Oryza sativa Japonica Group: one gene and its partners. The protein of the gene in region 1 binds, or shares a complex with, the protein of each later gene. Links are inferred from orthologs where the notes say so. Each region holds a gene or a part of one and is shown on either strand. Other genes may lie near its edges.

What was found.
Region 2: general transcription and DNA repair factor IIH helicase subunit XPD (region 1) and general transcription and DNA repair factor IIH subunit TFB4 share a complex: the UniProt entries of both Arabidopsis thaliana proteins name them as parts of the 7-subunit TFIIH core complex. The link is inferred for Oryza sativa Japonica Group from reciprocal best matches to the Arabidopsis thaliana genes UVH6 and AT1G18340.
Region 3: general transcription and DNA repair factor IIH helicase subunit XPD (region 1) and general transcription factor IIH subunit 2 share a complex: the UniProt entries of both Arabidopsis thaliana proteins name them as parts of the 7-subunit TFIIH core complex. The link is inferred for Oryza sativa Japonica Group from reciprocal best matches to the Arabidopsis thaliana genes UVH6 and GTF2H2.
Region 4: general transcription and DNA repair factor IIH helicase subunit XPD (region 1) and general transcription and DNA repair factor IIH subunit TFB2 share a complex: the UniProt entries of both Arabidopsis thaliana proteins name them as parts of the 7-subunit TFIIH core complex. The link is inferred for Oryza sativa Japonica Group from reciprocal best matches to the Arabidopsis thaliana genes UVH6 and AT4G17020.

Annotation. Positions count from the first base shown.
Region 1 is NC_089039.1:2,600,393-2,606,795, reverse strand, and holds the start of general transcription and DNA repair factor IIH helicase subunit XPD, read left to right. Parts: upstream 1-2,244; 5' UTR 2,245-2,385; coding exon 2,386-3,209; intron 3,210-3,366; coding exon 3,367-3,449; intron 3,450-3,556; coding exon 3,557-3,960; intron 3,961-4,062; coding exon 4,063-4,256; intron 4,257-4,499; coding exon 4,500-4,680; intron 4,681-5,064; coding exon 5,065-5,189; intron 5,190-5,820; coding exon 5,821-5,910; intron 5,911-6,094; coding exon 6,095-6,173; intron 6,174-6,284; coding exon 6,285-6,361; intron 6,362-6,403. UniProt on the Arabidopsis thaliana protein: ATP-dependent 5'-3' DNA helicase, component of the general transcription and DNA repair factor IIH (TFIIH) core complex, which is involved in general and transcription-coupled nucleotide excision repair (NER) of damaged DNA and, when complexed to CDK-activating kinase (CAK), involved in transcription by RNA polymerase II.
Region 2 is NC_089036.1:1,354,735-1,361,114, reverse strand, and holds the start of general transcription and DNA repair factor IIH subunit TFB4, read left to right. Parts: upstream 1-2,745; 5' UTR 2,746-2,899; coding exon 2,900-2,924; intron 2,925-3,020; coding exon 3,021-3,109; intron 3,110-3,392; coding exon 3,393-3,663; intron 3,664-3,745; coding exon 3,746-3,792; intron 3,793-4,062; coding exon 4,063-4,100; intron 4,101-4,176; coding exon 4,177-4,222; intron 4,223-4,457; coding exon 4,458-4,511; intron 4,512-4,633; coding exon 4,634-4,702; intron 4,703-5,563; coding exon 5,564-5,640; intron 5,641-5,951; coding exon 5,952-6,047; intron 6,048-6,161; coding exon 6,162-6,219; 3' UTR 6,220-6,276; intron 6,277-6,380. UniProt on the Arabidopsis thaliana protein: Component of the general transcription and DNA repair factor IIH (TFIIH) core complex, which is involved in general and transcription-coupled nucleotide excision repair (NER) of damaged DNA and, when complexed to CAK, in RNA transcription by RNA polymerase II.
Region 3 is NC_089038.1:25,936,196-25,942,306, reverse strand, and holds the start of general transcription factor IIH subunit 2, read left to right. Parts: upstream 1-2,614; 5' UTR 2,615-2,705; coding exon 2,706-3,035; intron 3,036-4,458; coding exon 4,459-4,920; intron 4,921-5,000; coding exon 5,001-5,379; intron 5,380-5,808; coding exon 5,809-5,936; 3' UTR 5,937-6,111. UniProt on the Arabidopsis thaliana protein: Component of the general transcription and DNA repair factor IIH (TFIIH) core complex, which is involved in general and transcription-coupled nucleotide excision repair (NER) of damaged DNA and, when complexed to CAK, in RNA transcription by RNA polymerase II.
Region 4 is NC_089038.1:35,247,141-35,252,220, forward strand, and holds the end of general transcription and DNA repair factor IIH subunit TFB2, read left to right. Parts: intron 1-30; coding exon 31-131; intron 132-621; coding exon 622-667; intron 668-752; coding exon 753-812; intron 813-909; coding exon 910-978; intron 979-1,450; coding exon 1,451-1,534; intron 1,535-1,605; coding exon 1,606-1,689; intron 1,690-1,838; coding exon 1,839-1,924; intron 1,925-2,519; coding exon 2,520-2,610; intron 2,611-2,689; coding exon 2,690-2,770; intron 2,771-2,851; coding exon 2,852-2,926; intron 2,927-3,052; coding exon 3,053-3,187; 3' UTR 3,188-3,355; downstream 3,356-5,080. UniProt on the Arabidopsis thaliana protein: Component of the general transcription and DNA repair factor IIH (TFIIH) core complex, which is involved in general and transcription-coupled nucleotide excision repair (NER) of damaged DNA and, when complexed to CAK, in RNA transcription by RNA polymerase II.

The DNA of each region.
Region 1 (6,403 bases):
TGTAGAAGTAATTGAACTATTCTCTCTGTTCCCGTTCTTTCTGTTTTGTTATGTAATAGAGCTCCCTCCAAACCAACCCACACAATCCAACTCTCGTCGGTCCAACTTACTCGCATAACAGCCATTCCTCAAGAACTGCACAGCTCTATCTATCTGACGGACGGGCATACTTGCAAATACCACATAACTTATATTTTCGTCATCCCTTCGTGTAAAATGGTTAAACCCAGGAATAATATGGTTGGAAGGACAAGACCTTATAAATTGTTTTTACCCTACTAAATTAGTAATGTGGTACTAAATATACACACATAACTCTCATGAGCCACACAGACCAACTCCTAATTGAGTCAGAATGTCACATGTTCTAAGTTGAAAATGTCTAACTTTGATCAAATCTATATAAAAAAAATACACACGCATACATAGCACAACATTAAATTAGTTTTATTGAAATCCATCATGAAATATGTGTTGATAGTGTATTTATTTGGTATCTTAGATGTGTTATTTTCTTCTGTAGACTTGATCAAAGTCTTTGATTTAAGAAAAAAAAACTGAAACACTAATTGAGGGAAAACGTATCAAGAAATGAAATAGTGGGACACAGAATCATTCCAGGGTGTTCGACACTTGAACATGGCAAACGAACCCAATTTTCCTTCAAAATGCATCTCTCTATCCTCACGAGATCTTTGGTCAATTCTTCCTGCATCACGAACAATTCTCATTGAGCGTCCAAGAGCATTGCATACACAATCAAAGAACAAACTCCACGGTGGAAACCAAATTCTCTGAACCTAATTAAGGTTGCAACTTCCCCCTAGCACAAAAAACCAAGAACTCAGTAACTGAAAGTTCTAGCTAGAAACATATATATTGACCAAGGAAGAAGCAGAAAACTGCAGATTTGGGAGGTTTTCCCTCCTGCATTCCATCCTATGGAACGTGCGAACGATCTTCTCCAGATTTCGCTTGTGGAAAATTTGACAAACCATATTCATATTCAACTTTTATTTCCAATACGAATATAAAAATGTACACTTGTGTTCCCGTAAAGTGATAAAATATGACTATGCTCTCCTAGGTATTCCCAAGAGAGTCCGATACACACAAAAAGAGAGAGAGAGAGAGAGAGATTGATTTGGAGGAAGAGACGTCCCTCTAAATATTTTTTTAAGAATAAATTATCGTGTCGGGATTGAACACGTGACCTTGGAGTTGAACCACACATCTCTTGCTACTGCACTATCAAACACATGTAGAAAGTCTAACATGAAGTCTAGCCTTAAGAAAAATCTGTTACGCATCTTTTCTCTACAATTTATATTCCTTTTGAGAAAACATATAATTTGTTTATCAAGTTGATGAAATAAACAAATTTCAAACGGTTGTTGGAGAAATTAAACTAAATTACTAAAAAAAATCCTTCAAAATTAATGTGCTCCAAAGGAGCTCTCAGATAGATATAGAGACATATGCAGTGCATATGTTTTAATCCACTAGAAATAAAAAAAAATATGTAGTGGAAACATGTAAACTATAGTTGGATAAAAAGTTGATGCCTGAGATTTAGCCACATCACCTCGATAACGTGGCCAAATTATATCAGACGTTCATGTTTAGATCCAACGGTAGTTTATGGTGTCAAGTGCTCCACTGATATAGTTGGAGCAGTAAATTAGACATTTTTTCTTTTATTTATAAGTAATTTTGCTATATTATAAGTTTGTTAAATATTATTATTATATTCTTGAAAAATAGTGGTCAAAGCTACCCTTCCACCGAATAAAGTCAGGATATTCATATGTATTAAAAAGAGATGATATAACAAAACCATATCTGATGCGTTGAAACCATACAATACTAACTAGGCATTGTTAACGCAAGATTTATACTGCGTCCGTTTTTAATAGATAACGATGTTGATCTTTTTATCGCACGTTTGATCATTCGTTTTATTAATAAAAATTACGTAATTATAATTTATTTTGTTGTGAGTTGTTTTATCAATCAAAGTACTTCAAGCATGATTTATATCTTACATATTTACATATTTTTTTAATAAAACAAATGATTAAACATGTGCTAAAATGTAAATGATGTTATCTATTAAAAAACAGAGGAGTATATTGTAGCAGAATAAATTTTTACTGCTAGTATTGGGCCATAAGATGGCCCATAATCCAGCCCATCTCGGACATATCTCCGGCCTACTTAGCCCATCATAGTCGTGTTGCTCTTGCACGGGCACGGCATTGTAACGAACACCTCACGCGCACACCCTCCCCTCCCCACGGCGGCGGCGGCGGCGGCGCGTGCAGCCGGCGATTCCGCCTCTCCTCCAAACTCCGGCGGCCCACCGGCCCCGACCTCGCCGCCGCGATGAAGTTCGACCTGGAGGGCCTGACGGTGCACTTCCCGTACGCGGCGATCTACCCGGAGCAGCACGCGTACATGGGCGAGCTGAAGCGCGCCCTCGACGCGCGCGGCCACGCGCTGCTCGAGATGCCGACGGGCACCGGCAAGACGTCGGCGCTCATCTCCCTCATCACCTCCTACTCCCTCGCCAGCCCGTCCCGCCCGCTCCGCCTCATCTACTGCACCCGCACCGTCCACGAGATGGAGAAGACCCTCGCCGAGCTCCGCCTCCTCTTCGCCCACCTCCCCGCCGCCGCCTCCCGCTCCCTCCTCGCCCTCGGCCTCTCCTCCCGCAAGAACCTCTGCGTCCACCCCCAGGCCTCCGCCGCCGCCGCCCGCGACTCCGTCGACACCGCCTGCCGCCGCCTCACCGCGTCCTGGGTGCGCGACAGGGCCGCCTCCGACCCGGACTCCACCCCGCTCTGCGACTTCTTCGAGTCCTTCGACCGCGCCGCCGCCGCCGGTGACCTCGCCTCCTACATGCCCCCCGGCGTCTACACCCTCGCCGACCTCCGCGCCCTCGGCCGCGACCGCGGGATCTGCCCCTACTTCCTCGCGAGGCAGATGGTCAAGTACGCCAATGTCGTGGTCTACAGCTACCAGTACCTGATTGATCCCAAGGTGGCCAGCATTGTGTCCAGGGAGATGCAGAAGGAGTGCGTCGTCGTCTTCGACGAGGCGCACAACATCGATAATGTCTGCATTGAGGCTCTCAGTGTCAGCATCCGCAAGCAGACGCTCGAAGGTGCCGAGCGAAACTTGCGGCGCATCTCGCAAGAGATCGATAGGTACCTGGTGTTGAAGAAGCTTGCAGCTACTAATATGCATAAAAAAACATGAATTCTTTGTTTCCAGGATTGCTTTTATGATTTCCTTAAGAGCATCCAACTTTGTGATAAATAGTTGAAGCTTGCTTGCTCACTAATTGCCTTATCTGGGAGGAAGGTTCAAGGCCACTGATGCCAATAGGCTTCGTGCTGAATACAACAGGCTGGTTGATGGATTGGCACAGAGGGGAAACCTGCCAAGTGAGTACCATTTTTTCTTTCACTAATTCTGTGTCTTAGACTGCTCATTGTGGTTGGTCTTTCTGGGTCAGTTAATAGTTTACGATAAAATATTTCTTGTTATGTAGTATCGGATGCTTGGCTCGCGAACCCGGCCTTGCCTGAGGACATTCTGAAGGAGGCTGTACCAGGAAACATCAGGAGGGCTGAGCATTTTCTTGCTGTTTTGCGGAGGCTTGTCAGGTTCCTAGATGGACGCCTGGAAACAGAGAATGTTGAGAATGAAATGCCTGTTGCCTTTGTTGCTTCAATCCATTCCCAGGCTGGAATTGACCAGAAAATGTTAAGGTTTTGTTATGATCGGCTACACTCTCTAATGCTTACCTTGGAGATAACCGATACAGATGAGTTCATGCACATCCAGACAATTTGTGACTTTGCCACATTGATTGGAACTTATACACGGGGCTTTTCTATAATAATAGAACCCTATGATGAGAGAATGCCTGATATCCGTGATCCTGTGATTCAGGTACTCATTCTTCTCTATATGACAATAATCTCTAATCTTAACTGTCATCAAAAGTCGTCAAAGTGCATTATTGATATCCTAATCAATTTCTATGTGTTGCAGCTCAGTTGCCATGATGCATCGCTTGCAATACAGCCTGTTTTTGAGCGTTTTCAAACAGTAGTCATAACTTCTGGTACTCTCAGCCCAATAGACCTCTACCCTCGCCTTTTGAACTTTAATCCTGTTATAAGCAGGAGCTTCACAATGTCTTTAACAAGGGATTGCATATGTCCCATGGTCTTGACAAGAGGAAGGTATGGACCGGGCCTTCAAAATTTCATGTGGCATATATTATTTTGAAAGCAAGCAACTAATTTATCCATTGCATGTTTTAAATACTAGCATAGCATCTATTGAATCTTTCTTCATCCTTTAGAGCATCATCGCATGAACTTAGTTTAGTTTTTGTATTGGGTTTTGGCTCTCAAAATTCTAGTCTTACTGGTGATATTGCAAAATCTTGATGTATAACTTCAAATATTCCATCACATTTTCAGTGACCAGCTACCTGTCAGTACAAAGTTTGATATGCGTAGCGATCCTGGCGTTGTAAGGAATTATGGTCGGCTCTTGCTGGAGATGGCTTCTGCTGTGCCAGATGGCATAGTTTGTTTTTTTGTCAGTTACTCTTATATGGATGGCATTGTCAACAGCTGGAATGAGATGGGTATTTTGCAGGTTAGTTTCTTTACCAGTACATTATTCTGGTATCGAGCAGTCTATAGAATATAAATCTAGTGCAAAACTCTTCATGGATTATGACATTGAATCTCGTTATGTCACCATATAAAGTCTAACAATTGCACAAATGCATTGTTTCAGTTGGAAAAACTTGTAGTACTGCTCTGGAACAGTCACTTGTAGTACTATATATGGTGTCTAAGCCTCTAATGTTCTTATTACATGTGCAGTTTATTGTACTGCTAAAAAGTGCATTGTCTGAGCTGATTTCACATGATTAATGCTTTTACTGTTCTCATGAATACAGCATTCTTGGCAAAGCCTTGATAACACGCAATGCATTAGCACCTAATATGAAAATCTTATGACTTCAATTTGCAGGACATCATGCAGCATAAGTTGGTATTCATTGAAACACCAGATGTTGTTGAGACAACATTGGCTCTTGATAATTACAGAAAGGCATGTGATTGTGGAAGAGGTGCTATATTCTTTTCCGTTGCCAGGTTGGTTCACTTTATATTGGTTTTGTCGGAAAGCACCCTTCAAATTTAGTGTCAGTGTTCAGCTTCGCAATTGATTGGATTGCTTGAGACTATTACAGCTATTTTAACATCGACCCAAGTAGGTGATAATTATGTCAAAGGTGATATATAATTACTGGTTGGCCAATGGTTTCTTTATTCCTAGTATATCCGAAACAACGAAGACAGTATTAGTCAAAAATAGGTGTAATTATGTGTTAACCAAAATAAATGAATGTCCTAGTTGGTACAGCAATTCAGTAAGTAATTTCAGAAAATGCTTCAATCAGGCATCCACCAATATTTCATTGATGTGTAAACATGAGGAACTCATACGTTGAGTTTTTAAGTTTATTTCTTGCAAAAAAAATTATCTTGTCCCTGAATGCTCAAATAAATTGCTGCCATTAGCTCATCATCTGGCTGATCAATAGGCTACAATAAGCATAACCCAGTAGGCACCACGAGCTAATTTACCATCATTACAGTATATTGTAGATTGGCTACTTCTGTTCAAGTGTTATTATTATAAATGTTTAAGTGGTCTTGACTCATGGCTACATAATATGATGGACATATGACTCATAGCTAACTACCACTATGCTCAATCCAGGGGCAAAGTAGCCGAAGGTATTGATTTTGATCGACACTATGGCAGACTTGTGATCATGTTTGGTGTTCCTTTCCAGTACACACTCAGCAGGTGAGGACTTATTGTCTGAACTTAAGATCCATTTTTTTGTGCAACCCTTGATCTCTATACCTGAGCATTACTTCTGTGCCTACGAATGGTTCATCATATTATAAAACATTATCTACTCAATAGCAACATCCATGGATACTTACTGGCATAATGACAGCTTCTTTTGTGTCTACACTGTTTGCAGGATATTACTTGCTAGGTTGGAGTACCTAAGAGAAACTTTTCAAATAAAGGAGGGTGACTTCCTGACCTTCGATGCTTTGGTAATAATACTACTTCTGCCAGGGGAAAGTAGGGCTGGATGATTTGTAGCTTTATTTTTCTAGAGACATCCAACAAAGTTTTCTTGACATTTTGGATTCTGTTAATGCCAGAGGCAAGCTGCGCAATGTGTTGGCCGTGTGATCCGTTCTAAAGCAGATTATGGAATGATGATATTTGCTGACAAGAGGTACTTGATCACTGCCTTGACTTTTAACTCAGAAAATTAGAA
Region 2 (6,380 bases), on another chromosome or scaffold:
AATTGGTTGTCATTATGCCATACCGAGATCCATCGGTGTCGAACAATAGAGACCACTTCTCCTTAGGCTCATTCTCAATCCACTGAGTGAAATTTCTGATGGACGACCTTGACCTCCTTCTCATTGTTGGTGGGTCATCATGTAATGCACCAAGAGGTATGGGAGGCTCGTCACCTTCAACTAGTGGTCTGCGAGATTGCTCATCTGTTTGCTTCGTTGTCAACTCATCCAACTTGTCCCACAACTCATTAAATTTCTTCTCTTGGTTCTGTGCACAGAGCCTCTTAAAGAGCTCCATAAGATGCTTGTTCTTGAATTGCTTGTAGAAATTTGCACCCATGTGACGCATGCACCACCGACTCTGAACATCAGGCCACTTAGCTGGAAGTCCCTTCTCATCCCAACCGTTCTGCAAGTAGTCAATAGCCCGCAACATACCCTCATGACGATCATGTATAAGGCAAACGTTGGGCCTCATACGCACCACTGCAATGTGCACTCTCTCTAGGAACCAGTACCAGCTTTCAGTGTTCTCACTCTCTACAAATGCAAAAGCCATAGGTAGAACCTGGTTGTTCCCATCACACCCAATTGCTGTCAATATCTGACCTCGGTATTTACCTGTCATAAAAGTTCCATCTATGCATAGAACAGGTCGACAATGCACAAAAGCATTGATGCAAGCACCCAATGAGAAAAAGGCTCTTTGCAGCATACTCTTTGTTCGATCATCAACCGATGTAAATGTATGTAGGTCATAGTACGTATTATTATTCCTCTGGGCAATGGTGGCTAACAAACGAGGCAAATTATCATAAGAAGCTTCAAATGTGCCATACCTCATCTCAATGATCTTTTGTTTGGCTCTCCAGGCCTTTGCATAGCTTATGGTGTACTTGAATTTGTTCTCGATGTGCCTAATAATTGATTTTGGTTCAAAGCCAATGTTACCAACAACACTGCTGTACATCTCACTTGCCACAAAAGCTGAAGTGATGTTTCGGTGATACTTCTCCACCCCTTGTAAGTAGCACTTGTGCTCGGTCACAATGCTAACTTTCCAATAATCATTCCATTTACCCTTATATGCATGGACACGCCACGGACAATCTTCCTTCATGCACCTCACTTCATACACATAATTTGTTGACTTGACCACCCTAAACTCTCTCTGCAAGGAAACTGCCCAATGCTTCACCGCCTCCTTCATCTCATCCTTATGAGCATACCTTGCACCGTCAATTACCTCGTTCTCCTTATACTCCCAGGGTACATGATCACCCTCTGATATAACAAGTCCAGAGAAGTCCTCATTTGCCCAATCAGTGGCCATTACATCACCTTCCTCATCGGATGATGCGTCGTCGTCCGCTTCCTCATTATCCGAATCTTCCCTCTCCATTTCATCAACAATTATACCGACTCTCTCCCCCTCATCCGCCATGCCCATAGCCTGCTCCTCCCTTGGTTGATTTTCCTCATTTTGCATCGATGGTCCAACAACATCCCCTGCATTGATAGGACCCTCTACATCTTCGGTTTGCATTGAAACATTTATATCTTTCTCTTGTACCGACACAAATATAACGAGGGGCCATGACCGTTCAAAAGCCATTTCCACATACCGTCTCCAAGCATCAGTGCTGTCCATCGGCATTAGTTCCCAAAAATAACCTTCTGTTGCACGACTCACTACAACTGACACTGACATTGTGTAGACTTCTTGGTCTATTCTAAATCCTCTCAACAACCAACTATAAATTGACTGAAATGTTCTCTCCGCAGGCCTATCGATGCCCTTAGATGTCATTACAAAATCTGACAGATCAACACCATCTGGACCAAATCTAATATTTCCTTTACCATGAACTATCTGAAATGTGACCTTACTTGACATTGTGCCTGATGAAAACAATAACTGCGTTAACCTCGCATTTCTGTACTACGCCCTAAGTTACATTCTCTACAATATTGTTCTCTAAATTTCTAAAATTACGTTACATTCTCCAGATCAAACTAAACTACATCTTACAATTAACACTACTGTCTATGTCTCAATTCATACTATTATATTCTATGCTCTGGATCTACACATATGTGCTATGTGCTACAGATGTGCTAAAATATATGGAACTAAAACTAAAACGCAACATATATACTCAAACATAACATATTAGTACAAATGCAAAAGATGTATGGGAGCATACCTGTGATGAATTGAGCGAACCAGCAGGGCTTCGCCGCTCCCCTTCTGCTGCCCTCCCCTCTCTCTCTTTCGTTTTTTTTGGATTTTTAGTGAATATAATGAAATTTCACAGAGGAGGGACTGGGCTTTATAGGGGGAGGCAAAAATCGCCCTCCCCCAGGGCGGCAAGGGGGCCGCCTGCAAAATTCCATGCCCCCTCGCCGCCCATTTGCAGGCGCCCCCCCCCCACAGTACAAAATCGCCCTAGCGGAGGGCGGCAAGGGGGCCGCCTGCAAAATTCCATGCCCCCCCTCGCCGCCCATTTGCAGGCGGCCCCCCGCACAGTATAAAATCGCCCTAGCGGAGGGCGGCAAGGGGGCCGCCTGCAAATTTCGTTGACGGCCGTCGCCCGAGAGCGAACGGCCGTCTGCCACGTCATTTTCGCCGCCCTCTGAGAGGGCGGTAGGCGACTACTTCCGTCAATTTTCAAAATGGAAAATTATTTTTGTAAAACTTTTAATAAAAAAATTATAAATAAAAAAAATTCGTCGTCTCTTGCCGCCCCCAAGCGCAGCCGCAACTCCGCCGAGTTCGCCGCCTCCGCCTCCGCCTCCCGACGGCGGCAAGGCAACCGCTCGCGCCGCCGCCGCCTCGGCCCAACCAGCGCCTCCGTTCGCGCGTGTCCGGCCCTGCCGCGACGGCGGTGAGACTGCCATGGCCTCCTCCAAGCTCTACTCCGGTAAGCGGCGCCCGACCGTCTCCGTTTTCTGATCCCTTTGCGTCTCGCTAATCTTCCCCCCTTTTCTCTTGCCTCGTCTCCACCGCGCCTGCGCAGATGACGTCAGCCTCGCCGTCGTCGTCGTCGACACCAACCCCTTGTTCTGGGCCACCGCCGCCCTCCCCTTCGCCGACTTCTTCGCCCATGTACGCCGCGACCTCCCAAACCCTATTTCCCTTCTCGTCCCCCGCTTCCCCTCTCGATTTCTAGTTTTTGATTCACATCTATATCATGGGGATTAACCACGGAAACACGATCAGTATCTAGTTGCATTCACGCTGATCTAGCTAGTTTGATTTTATTCTGACTCCTCCAGAGAGGATCAATCTCTAGTTGCTCGCTGATCTAGTTAGTTTGATTTTGACTCTGAATTCTCCAGAGAGGAGAGGATTTACACTTAATACTGATGCAATTCCGGGGTGTATGTAGCTGATCCACTACGTGAACTCGCTCTTGCTTCTGAACCACCTCAACCATGTGGTCGTCATCGCCGCGGGGCTTAGCTCTTGCACCTACATCTTCGACTCGAGCGATGCTAGTGCCTCTGGTGCTGCAGACGTCGCGGCCACCTTCGCAAAGGCGAGCCGCAAGATGGATGAGTTCATTGCAGAAGACGCCCGTGCCACTAGCAGCAATGGTTCCGTTGCTGATGGCAATGCAGCCTCTCTTCTCTCAGGCGCACTGTCCCTTGCTCTGTGCTGTATCCTATGACTGGTACTGATTTCTTATTGTTAGTGCATTTTCCATTTGTGCTTGTATTTCTTAACATGGAGGATGCTTAGATATACAGAGGGTTTTTCGGTCTGGTACTCGACATCCACAACCTCGGGTGAGTATACACTCTGTGTGTGTTCTAAGTTACCTTTTGTTCTGATTCCTGTTGATATGTTGACCTATGAGAACAACATAGAAGGGAGCATATCAGTTAGCATAAATGTTTACAATGCGCATGCTGTATGGACTAAAAAAACCTGATAGGCATCTGACCCATCACTAATGATATAATTATTTAATTTTCTTTGTTTTCTTGAATTTTTCTACTCAATATCCTCACAACTTATTCTAGTGGCATCATGTATTATGCTAACACGAAATACAGATTTTATGCCTGCAGGGTTCTCCAGATGGACCTGAACAGTACGCACATTCATCGATTTGATTGTGTAGTATATATTTTCTGGAACATGTTTTAACTCAATGAGATGCTGCGCAGATATGTAGCGGTCATGAACTCAATATTTTCTGCTCAACGTTCCATGGTATTGCATGAACTGTCACTATTCCGTACATTTGGGTTCATTGTTCAATTCATTTTATTGATACTCTTGATGTCACCTCACCATTTCACAACTGTAGTGGTTTTAGTGAGTCCCAACTGCAAGTAGCACTACCTCTAGACATGTCTATATGACTATATACATCACCAGTTTCATTGCTTAAAACATTCACTAACAACTTTGGTCCTTATTTTTTTTTTCTATCAAAAAAATTTAGGTCCCAATCGATTCATGCATAGTAGGAACCCAAGACTCTGCTTTCTTGCAACAGGTAATGTTCTTCAGTGCCTTCTTGGTCTTTCTTTCCATTTATAACTTCTTTTACATGTATGCCCCCATAGAGCTGTCTATTCCTTGCTGAATGCTGATCATATACTGGCCTTTCATTTGCAGGCTTCATATATAACAGGTGGAGTTTATTTGAAACCCCAAGAACTAAATGGTCTATTTCAATACCTTGCTGTAAGTCATTCTGGCACTTCTGTAGCAACACACATATTTTCTCATGCAACCATGGTTACATCTTTATAACTGCATGATGCATTTATATAAAGCCTGTGGCCATCTTTTCTGTGTAATAATGAAAAATTAAGAAGGCAACTAACCTCCAGCACATGAATCTGATGTAACTCTTTAAAAGAAAAATGCCAGATCAGCCCATTTTCATTTTGTGAAAAAAAATAATATCAACTTTCATCTAAGGTTGTCTAGGCTCTTCTGTTTTCCTGCCTTTGCTTGAATGTAGAATGTACTAGTAATGTTTGGGAACTCATGCATCTCTAGTGAGTGTGGCTTGTTTAAAGTGTGCACTCAAGCATAATATTTCCTGTATGTCTCAAACTGTCAATCTGGGAAGATCAACACAACTACATCTCTAAACTTTAGTGCCAAATGATTTTGGATGCTACTAGTAGACTACAAAGTTGAATGCCCTCTCAGTGTCTATGTTCATGAGTTCATCTCCTATGTCAAAACTCAATATTTTCTGTCACTAGAGTGGGGCACATAGATACTCCATCTTCCTGGTACTGGTAGTATATCTACCTGTTAATCTAGAATCAGATTCACATATATATGTACAATACACTAATGAACAACAATGGAATCATCAGATTATGGCGTGATAGACTGTGCTGTTTACTTCTGACCCAAATCTATTGCTTCAATATCAGCTTACGTTGACCTGTTTTTGGAATATATATATTAGTTCCAAAGTTGCTCTGTTTTGTGTTTGTCTTTATTCTATCTGAGTAGGAATATTTCTATTTCAGATAACTTGATTAATTTGCTTGAGCTCAATGACTCATTTCTGCAAATATGCAGGCTGTATTTGCAACTGATTTACACTCAAGAACCTTTCTGCGCCTCCCCAAGACTCTGGGAGTGGATTTCCGTGCTTCGTATGTGTCACTCAGTTTCCTCTATTAAGTTCTCTAGGCATTAGGCATATCTCTGTTTCTTCATCTTCTTGAATGCCTTGTGACATAGCTATGAGATGCTTGTTATAGATCTGAAAACATAGCATAATACCAATGACAATTTCAGAAAAATGTGAGAAACATACAGCTAATTTTTTTTGTGAAGTTCTATCTTACCAAAGGCCTTAGGTCAGGATTAGCAGCTCAGTTTATTTTTGTTTTTAAGTTTCCATTCAGTTTGTCTGATACTGGTGGCCTTTCAACTGCATCTAATTTGCTATATTTCTTTTCAGATGTTTCTGCCATAAGAAGACTATTGACATGGGATATGTTTGTTCAGTTTGTTTATCGATATTCTGCAAGTATCATAAGAAGTGTTCGACCTGTGGGTATGTTATAGTTGCTTTGTGTTTCTATTCTTTTGTCTTTTTCCTGAGAGCTTTAATTTGTTTCAGTAAGAATCAGATTGTTTGCTTGTTTAATTTGATGTGCTCCGTTCACAGGTCAGAATTCAACCGTGTCATGCCCGACTTAAATTCTGTACCTGATCAAAGGCAGTAGTCTACACTACAGATGGCGAAATATCAGACTGCAGACTTCTCTTTATGTTCTCCACAGGTTCGTCTGATGTGTCTCTTAAGAAACTTCGGTGCCACTATCTTCTATAGTTAAAAGATCTCATTTGTAAAATATAGACTACTTCATCTGCATTAGCTGACCCC
Region 3 (6,111 bases), on another chromosome or scaffold:
ATGCGCTTCGTGCGAAAACTTTCTGTATGAAAGTTGCTATAAAATATCATATTAATCTATTTTTAAAGTTTGTAATAATTAAAACTCAATCAACATACGTTAATATCATCTCGTTTTTGCGTAAAAAAATTAATTTTCATCTTTATCTTTAAGAGAAAAGGAGAAAAGAACATCACCGCATAGTTCCAGGCCTATTATTGCACAGAGGTTGCTGTGCTTCTCAACGATTGCCAGAAGAGATCTTCAGAAAGACCCCAAAGTCTAGAAACTCTTCCAAACATAAGCTAAGGATGTGTTTTTATTTGAGTGTAAAGTTTTTAAAGTATATGAACGCACATTTAAAGTATTAAACGTAGACTAATAACAAAACAAATTACAAATTCCGTATGTAAACTGCGAGACGAATTTATTAAGTCTAATTAATCTGTCATTAGCAAATGTTTGTTATAGCATCACATTGTCAAATCATGGCGTAATTAGGCTTAAAAGATTCGTCTCGCAATTTACATACAAACTGTACAATTGATTTTTTTTCCACATTTAATGTCCTATGCATGTGTCCAAACATTTGATATGATGTTTTTGGCTAAAATTTTTTAGATCTAAACAAGGCCTAAATGATACTTGTGATGGAAAATGCATCAAGTTTATTCACAGATAACAGAGGAACATGCATGAAGATGAAGTGCACATTTCAAGAGGCAGGGAAAATATCAGACTACTTTCATCCTACTGAAGTCAGGGTGTGTTTAGTTCACGTCAAAATTAAAAGTTTGGTTAAAATTGAAATGATGTGACTGAAAAGTTAAAAGTTTATGTGTATAGAAAAGTTTTAATGTGATAAAAAAGTTAAAAGTTTAAAAAAAAGTTTAGAACTAAACTCGGCCTTACCTGATCTTCAGAAAGACCCCGAAGTCTAGAGATGAAAATCTTCTAAACATAAGTCAAGGATCACAATGCGATGAAGAATGCATCAAGTTTATTCACAGATAACAGATTGATGAACATGCATGAAGATGAAGTGCACATTTCAAGAGGCATGGAAAATATCAGACTGTACTTTCATCCTTCTGAAGTTAGCTGATCTGTAGGAAACTAGGAACATCTTAAGGTTTTGATTGGAATTAGGATTAGTCCTAGCTTAGCTGTCATCAGTGGCATTACAACAGAAGCACAGAACAACAACCGTGGAACTGCAGCATTGGAACCTAGTACTGCAAAGTCTGTCGAAGATATTATCAGCGACACCTGTATAACAAAAGCGTGGCACATGAGACATGGATACATTCGCGCATTAGATGCGATGTCGACCAGTCAACCATGTCGATGATATAAACTATAGAGATGAATTTATAGTATAAATACTTACAGATCGCATGAACTTCGTTATTAAAAAAATCGAGGTGGTCAGGTGCCACATTGCCAATGCTGCAATTCCAACTGTCAACATAAAACTATATTTATTTTTATGAAGTGTCTGAAAGTTCAAACATGCACATGTGCAGATGTCTAGTGATTTTATTATTATGCAAAGTACTACAACCTGTATTTCAGTTTATCAAAATTATTCATCAAATTTGCCAACTGAGCTCCCCTTGCGGTAGAACATATCCATCGAAGTTCAAGTTGTAGTCTTAGTATAGGTGCTTTTGCATTTTTTTTCTAGGATTTAATCTGATGAGGTAGTATGCTGGTGCTTGCACTTTCTCGGAGACTTAATCTCCGGAGGCACTGAATGCACATAATATTTGGTGGATAAGTTTATACCCATGTTAAACGAGGCTACTGTTCGAATTTGAGTGTATGTTAGGACTTAGATGCATAAAGTTAGTGTGTGCATATGTCAACTTAACTCGACAAAGGAAATAAGCCTTACATTTGACATAAACCCCTCGTTGGATTACTTTGAGATTCGTTCAAATCCCCCCACGTTAACCCTCTTCCTTTTCTTCTTCCCTCCTCACCGATGCACGACATGCTCGACCTTGACGCCTCTTGTGCTATCACTTGGATGGAAGTGTCATTAATATTGACGGAGCCCTCCCCCCTCTATTCCTTCTCAAGCCAGCAGATGCCCATGATCCGACATTTTCCCCATCTTCGGCTGCTCATAACCACCACCACCGACTACCGCTTCTTAACACAAGCTTGCTTTGCCCCTACCGCGCTCCTTTATCCCAATGGGCGCTGACATCGCCGTTGACGCCTCACTAGCATCCATTGTCCACCACCCCCCTTGGTCCACCACTTCCCATGATCATGCCTCTAAGACCGACGATCTCCTCCCTCTTCCCCAATCCCTACCCTAAATCTAATATGGACCCTAATCCGTCGATTCTAGTTCAGGGTGGCGCCAATGTCGACAAAGAAAAGGAGGTTGCTAAAGCAAGAGGAGAAGAATATAGAGCACAAATCACAAAGCACATCTTTTTTTATCTTAATCACGAAGCACATCTTTTGACCCTAAATCTGCAAGATTTGACGATAACCCCCAAAAAATATTCATAAAATTTTAGATGGGTTTTCAGTTTTTTTTTCAAGTGCAAGCAAGTAAGGCCTCAACCGTCAAGCATGGGAAAGCTAGAAAAGTTAAGGAAAACCCACTCAAAAGCCCAGGAACCCCAAAACCTGGCCCATCTCCCCGGTCCCCGACCTCGCCTCTCCTTCCTCCTCTGCTCCCACTCCGCCTCGCCGCCGCCTCCACCATGTACGGCGTCGGCGGCGGCGGCGGCGGCTTCAACGCGCCCTACACGGCATCGGCCCGGCGGCGCAACCACGAGGACGACGACGACGAGGAGGAGGAGGAGTCCGGCGAGGGGCGCGTCCTCGAGGCCTGGGAGCGCGCGTACGCGGACGACCGGTCATGGGAGGCGCTGCAGGAGGACGAGTCGGGCCTCCTCCGCCCGATCGACACCAAGACCCTCGTCCACGCGCAGTACCGCCGCCGCCTTCTCCTCCGCTCTGCCGCCTCCGCCGCCGCCCGCATCCAGAAGGGCCTCATCCGCTACCTCTACATCGTCATCGATCTCTCCCGGGTTCGTTCCCCCGTGCCTTCTCCTAAGCTTGTCCTCGGGTCAGTCACTCCGTCGAGCACTTGGTGAGTGCGGAGTTTTCCGTGAGCTCGGGTTAGGATCACTGGGGATGGCGGGCAATGCTGATCGTGCTAACCTCTCAGTGTTTGTTAAATGCAACACCTCGTGCCGAGGCTGATCTGGTGGTATTGCCCATGGCCTCAATTTGGTTCGTGTGAAATGTGGACTGGAGGCAGTATTGTTGAATCGGTGATCACTATGTAGTGCTTTTAGCTTGATTTCATATGCTAGCTATTTCAGTGACTAGCTGCGCAATCCTCTCCACTTCCACATCAAGGTTTGATGTTTGAGTTGATGATCTCATCACTCATGTATGATTTGCTAGCTTGTCTTCTTGCTTAGGTGTTCTGCTTTTAGTCCCTGAGAGTGGGTGTTATAATCGGTGCATATCAGGGCAATACTGGAATCTAGCCATTTTTGTTTGCCATTGACCAGGGCCATAACCAGAGATTGAATGGGGGGTTTTCGCCAACCATTGAACGCAATGAAGTTCACAAACTAAAATGAAATTGTATATGGTTTGTATTAAAAATGGTTCTTCTACAATTATAATAGTTTGTTTTGTAAAGGAAAAAAATTCTTGTGCCAAAGGGTCTCCTGAGATCTGTGGTAAATAAAATTCTTTCTATAAATTACTGCACTATGACTCTTATGAGCAAGCTAAAAAGGAAAAGACATATTTCATACCCCATCCCTGTTAGGCTCATGCTAATAGCAATTTTCTCTTGGTTCTGTCCTATCTGAAAACTTCATAGGAATCGGAGGAGCGTGAGGTTTTTCATTATCAAGATTCTGAAGCGGTAAAGCGTTTTGGTTGATCGTCATTTGTTTTATGTCAAAGGAAAGGGGCACCGTACTGCATTACTGCTCCATACCATTTGACATTGTTGGAAAGTGTTTTCTGTTGATTTGAGAACACTACGTATATTTTGTGTATGCATTCATGTGGAAAAAGCCCTTTCTTCCTTTGGGTGATAGGTAGTAAATAAGATCCTCTTTGGCACAGCTCCAGATCTTAGATCCATGGTAGATTTGAAGTTTATAAATTAAATTATAATGGTTTAAAATTCTAAATTTCATTTGAAATGTGCACGAAATAATTTATTTAAATGTTATTAACGTAATCGTAGATCTAGATCCATGGATTTATGGAGCTAGAAATACCTAGCTCCAAGAAATCTTGGAGAGGGCCTATACCATTTATTTTAGCATATGTACATTTTCTTCTCACAAAGTAGGCTGCTCATGATTGTTCTGGTGATGAAGATATTTTTACTGCAAATTGATATGCTGCCCACGACTTCTTTTACTTCTTTGCATTCGGTTGTAATCTCCATTTATCCTGGTTGTATCTTTGATCATGTAGGCAGCTTCAGAGATGGATTATCGACCTAGTCGAATGGCTGTTGTTGCAAAATATGCTGAGGTATTCATAAGGGAATTTTTTGACCAGAATCCCTTGAGTCATGTGGGGATAGTGACAATGAAAGATGGGATTTCCCATCGACTTACAGAGATTGGAGGTAGTCCTGAATCACAGATTAAAGCATTGATGGGGAAGCTTGAGTGTTCTGGTGAACCATCTCTGCAGAATGCTCTAGAGCTTGTCCATGGTTATTTAGACCAGGTTCCTTCATATGGTCACAAGGAAGTATTATTTTTGTACTCGGCCCTGAATACCTGTGATCCTGGAGATATCATGGAGACAATAGCAAAATGCAAGAAATCCAAAATACGATGTTCGGTTATTGGGCTTGCTGCAGAGATTTTTATCTGCAAATATCTGTGTGAAGAGACTGGCGGATCCTACACAGTTGCACTGGATGAGGTCTTAAAATATGCTTTGTGTGTTTACCTTTCCTTATTCAGTTATTGTGAAGATAAATAATGCCTGTTTTATTTTGGCAGTCCCATTTCAAGGAATTGCTTCTGGAACATGCTCCTCCACCACCTGCAATTGCTGAGTATGCTGCAGCTAATTTGATTAAGATGGGTTTTCCGCAGAGAGGAGCAGAGGATCTTATCTCCATCTGCTCTTGTCACAAGAAAATAAAGTCGGGGGCTGAAGGTTACATATGTCCTAGATGCAAAGTCAATGTATGTGAGCTTCCAACAGAATGTCGAACTTGCGGGCTGACACTAGTTAGCTCTCCACATCTGGCAAGGTCCTATCATCATCTCTTCCCTGTACAACCATTTGATGAGGTGTCCTCCGTGCACCCAAATAGACTAGGTCAAAAGGGAGGACAAAAGTGTTACGGCTGCCAGCAAAGCTTTATTAACCCTGGTATGCAGTTCTTTAACACGTCTAACAGTACATGCTACCTTTTCAATGCATTTTCATACAAGGAAAGATATCCTTATTGTGCTACATATGTTGCAGTTGGTAGAAAAAAGAAGAGAAAATACATAATACAAAGCTTACATTTGTTTGTTATTACATGGCATCATGTTCTTCAATTACCAATCCTCATACTTCTCTTACATTTAATGTTTTTCACTGGTTTTTGTGCTAGATTATACTCCCTCTGTCCCATAAAAAACCAACATAGTACTAGATGTGGCATATCCTAGTACTATGAATCTGGACATACCTCTGTTTATATTCGTTGTACTAGAATGTGTTATATACAGTCCTAGGTTCGTTATTTTTTGAGACGGAGGGAGTACTTTGCAATTATCAGGTTTATTAATTATTTATCCAATATCCTTGCAGATAGTCAATCTAGCCTCCATGTTCGCTGTCCAAAATGCAACCAACACTTCTGCCTTGATTGCGATATTTACATCCATGAGAGCTTGCACAATTGCCCAGGTTGCGAGAGTCAGCGTAGTTCTTCATAGGGATGCCATTGTGGTGTTAATCTTTGTCTTTTTAACTCAAGAAGCTACCCGTTGCTGTAAGCTTTCTCGTACACTGACATTGGTAGGCGATGTTGTGAGGTAATCAAACAGTGTACAGATGATATAGTGCCCGGCCTCCATTTTGTTGACGCTTCCTGTTCATTTAGATGGAGTA
Region 4 (5,080 bases), on another chromosome or scaffold:
GAACTCATTCTTTTCTCTATGGGAAAATAGTGCTTCTTGCTGCAATTGATCAACTCATCTCAAGTCGAGAGAGGGACAAGTTTCAGCTCATCCATGATGAGAACTTTTCAGCGAGGTCTTCTGAGTTCAAGGTCCATCTTATTTCCTCCCTTGCTTTTGGCAGTGAGTTATGCATAAAATACGGACAATCAAATTTTGTAACAACAACAAAGAATATGCAGATTGCTGTAGCTCTTTCTTTTGTTAGTACAATTAGATGATAAATCCAATGGCTGTAGCTACATAGATATACACTAAGAAGAACTAGCAACTACTATACCCAAGATGGTGTGGGCTGACAGCAGATGGTCATTGGTTAATTGGTTTGGTTTATCTGTGTTCAGTTTACCTGTAAGTGAAATGGGGCTGATTGGTCTCTTAGTAATCCTAATAATCCATCTTTTAGCAGGTTGCTTTTTTTATTTGGATAGTTCAGATTTGCACCACATTTCTGGAATTTTAAAAGCTACTAGAGTTTTTTTGCCCTGCTATATATTCTCTAGCTTTATTGTATATGCTTTCCTCATTGCATATTCAAACAACAACTGAACGATAGAGTTCCTGATCTGATATATTCTGCAGAGATGGTGAAGCTCCAAGATTAACTGAGAACGGGTTCCAGTTTCTGGTGTGTCATTGGCTATCAGTTGATCCAATTATCTAACAGACTGCAGACTTCTATATTTGTTTCTCACTCTTTTCTATTTAACCAGCTGATGGAGACAAATGCTCAACTTTGGTACATCATGAGAGAATACATCTCATCAGCAGAGGTATCGGTTGCTTGCTCTTTCTAGAGCTTTTGATGTTACATTGTTGATTTATTTGTTGTATTTCCTTTGTGCTGATTGTTTTATTACTGTTGAATAGGAACGTGGTGTGGACCCCACGGAGTTGATATCATTTCTATTGGAACTTAGTTTTCATACATTAGGAGAGGTAAGTTAACCACTTTTAAAAGACTGTGGTGATGCTTCTTTTTTTTTCAAAAATCGTTTTAAAAAGTGACCAGCTCCAGTTTTTCTTTTACAGAAATTAAAATATAATTTCCCTCAATAATAGTAGGTTATATTGATATAAGAAATAAACACGGCCACATTTTACGCAGATTATAGTTTATGAGAGGATTGGGTAAATTGTAGTGGTATATGAAACGGAGCATCTCAAAGATTTTCTATTGGTTTCTGATCTATCTAACAGAATAGGGACATCAATCTAACATGCCTGCTTAATAATGCTTACTAGTTCAGACAGTACCAGAGATTTAGTGCTTAAAAAGAGGTTATCAGTCTGTAGATTAATGTTATTAACTAAGCATTATCTTTCATCTGTTGTGGAGTCCAAGCTTTGTGGCCTGGTTCATCTGTTGCAAATTCGCTTCAACATGCTGTTTAACTTATTCATGCTTCAGGCTTATAGCTTGAATACTCTGACCGATGTCCAAAGAAATGCTATTAGGGATCTGGCGGAGTTGGGACTGGTCAAACTTCAGCAGGTAAAACTTTGATTTAGTCTTTTCCCTAGTCAACTTGATGAATACAAATGTCAAGAGTTAAGCCATGGCAGGGTCGAAAGGACAGCTGGTTCATACCTACAAAACTGGCTACAAATCTCTCAGCAAGCTTGTCAGATTCATCGTCTAACAAAGAGGTTTCAGAACATTTTATATCCTTGCTATTACAGTTATTCATGACGTCCAAATCTTTCATAACCTCAATCTACTCGTCACCTAAGCAACAACAAATGAAGATGAAAATACTTTCTGTTAATAATTACATTGTATGATGTTGGTGCTGTAGGGTTTTGTAGTTGTGGAGACAAATTTCCGGATGTATGCGTACTCAACTTCCAGATTACATTGTGAAATTCTGCGCCTTTTTTCAAGGTACGTGTGGTGCTAGATGATTGGCATAACTTAGCTCAACTATGTACTGGTTTTTTAACTACTGAATTACTGATCCATAGCTTCTGTTGCATCCTTGAACGACTTTCCTCTATTTATTATTAACATTTTGCCATATGTTTGGCATGCAAAAGAGCGACGGCAGGGAGCTAAGGGCTCTATACCCTTCATCACATTTTCTTTAGTTAACCAGCGTAACTCTGCCAATTGTCATGCGAGTATATGCCATAATCTTGATTTTTGGCTATGCTCTAGTAGAATGGTGATTGGTCACTGCTGTTTCAGTGACTGATACCGTTTATCTTGGTTGAGTAGATGCCTTCATCTTGACTGAATTGACTCAGGAATGCCAACTGTTTCACTGGAATCCAGTACTAAATCAAGGTAGTAGGAAACACAATACAGTGAAGATGACTGTATTAATAACTGTGTTGTAAGTAATATTGCTTATTAATTTTACAGGACACTTGCTTAAGGTTTTATTAAAATGACAGTAATAGTGGCGACTGTAGATTTTACCTTATATTACTGTCATCCTCCATTCTTCATTGAATGTTCAATAAGGATATTTTTGCAGAGTGGAGTATCAACTTCCAAACCTAATTGTGGGATCTATTACAAAAGAAAGTCTTTATGGTGCTTTTGAGAATGGGATTACCGCTGAACAGGTATCACTTGGAGTATGAATTTCTGCATGATCCATTATATAGATACTCAGAGTCATTCTTGTTTTGTGTTGTTTTTCAGATAATTTCATTCCTTCAGCAGAATGCTCATCCTCGTGTTGCTGACAAGATACCTGCAGTCCCAGAGAACGTTACAGATCAGGTACAACTGAACAAGGCAATGTTTTCATCCATGGCCAACCGTATTTGCCAAAGTAATTGAATTGGTAATTCCTCCATGCAGATTAGGTTGTGGGAAACGGATCGTAACAGGGTTGATATGACCCTATCGCATTTATATGAAGATTTTCCAAGCAAGGTAAAGCCCAGCATATTTAACTTGGAAATAGTACTGGGACAATATTGAGTTGCTTATACCATGTTGGTGTGTGCTTTTCATATTAGTGTAAACGCTAACATATTTATTCTACTGTTGCTTGTGCAGGATATGTTTGATCAATGCTGTGATTATGCAAGAGATCATGGGTGCTTGCTGTGGGAGGATGCGAAGAAGATGAGATTAATTGTACGAGTGGAGTTCCATTCAGAAATGCGTGAGTTCCTCCGGAGGCTAAGATAAATCAACTATAGTTTGCATAATTTATTCAATCTATGTACTCCTATATTCCTGCACAGTAAGAACTTTATCAATGACTGTTGTGCACCAATTTGGCCCATTGTCACACATGAATATATCCACTGGCTGCATCATGTTAAGGAGTTGGAACTCGCTGAACTTTTGAGTTAACTGCTGTTACCCTGTTTATTATTACGGAGTGCTCCATCCGTCCAGTCCAAATTAGTTGTTTTAGGATAGATCACATTTTATTCTAGATATTTTTCTTTACTTATTCTAGATGATTACTCCGTGCAAGAGAGGAGCGATTAGAGGGAGAGACGAGCGATCAGAGAGGAGGGGGAGGGTGTGTGTCAGGTGTCAGGTTTTCACCTGTGTCAATCCGTGTGAGAGAGGAGACGGGTTATCATTAACTAGGAGGAATCATTTCTTGTTACAAGGTGTCAGAGAGAGAGAGAGAGAGAGAGAGAGAGCTAGAGAGAGATAACTAGGAGGAATCATTTCTTGTTACAAGAGGTGTCAGAGAGAGAGAGGAGACGGCTAAACCACGCAAGTAACCAGCTCGAGTATATAAACGCGGGTTACATAAGGAGTCTCACGCCTCTCACCCCACCCCACCCACTCCTCCGACGAGAGTAGACGAGCAGAGCAAAAGCCGGCCGCCGGGCATGGGGAAGAAGAAGAAGAACAAGAACAAGAAGAACAAGAAGTCGTCGGCTCCTCAGGCGCGCGGCCGCGGCAGCAACTCCGACCGCCGCTCCTTCACGCGCGGAATGCTGCAGTCCATCAACAACATGACGGTCATGCGCGCCACGCCTCGCGACCCCTTCGTCGTCGCTACTGTGACGGGTCGTTGCGACGGCGACCCCATCGACGTCGCCAACCCCGACATCGCCGCCGCCGCCGCCGCCGCGGCCGACCCCGTCGTCGCTCCTGCTGCTGCTGGTGGTCCTTGGGACGAGGAGGAGGAGGTGGAGCCGGCGCCGGCAACTACCGACCTACGTGCTGCTGCCACCACCGGAGGCGAGGCGACCGAGACCGAGACCGCCGCCGTCTGAGCTGAGGTATACTATCTGCATGCGGTCGGGTTGGCCTACGTTGAGAACTGGATTACCTTTCGTTGCATTTTAGTTTGGACTACGTAGCTTGCATGTTGTCTGTGATAGGATCAGTAGCGATCGCCGATCGATGGATATCTGTGTGTACGTATGGTTTTGCACTCGATCGTCGTATTTGAACAAAGATATATATGTGATATGCTGATCTGGGGATATATGTTACTCCTATGTGGTGATGCATTTCTTGGTGTGATGATCGATGCACGCGGGTTTAATAACCTAGCCTCTATTTTGCTTGGATTAGTACGTTTGATCATGCATGTTGATTTGAAGAGGTTTTTGCTTCCTCGCGTTCGTTATGACCATCTCTTGCAGACCACAAATTTAGCACAAGTAGCACGCACGGGCCTACTCTTACACTAACACTAACTAGCTAATTGACTGATATTCATATGCAGTTCTCCAAAAAAAAAAAAACTGCAATGTTGATTTTTTTTTGGCAGAAATTGGCTAGTCATTTTTTTGGGGGGTTTTGTACCAAAGTTGCATCTTGACATAGGGTGCGTTCGTTCCGGTGAGTTTAGGTGAGAAAGTACCTCTATTCCGCGTGCACGCTTCTTAAACTACTAAACGGTGTGTTTTTTGTAAAAAATTTCTATAGAAAAGTTGCTTTAAAAAATCATATTAATCCATTTTTAAAGTTTAAAATAGTTAATACTCAATTAATCATGCGCTAATGACTCACCTCGTTTTGCGTATCTTTTCAATCTTCTCAATCTCCTTCTCCTCAAACTCACCCATAATTTGGCAAGGCATTTTCTTTTTCGGTTACAATGAA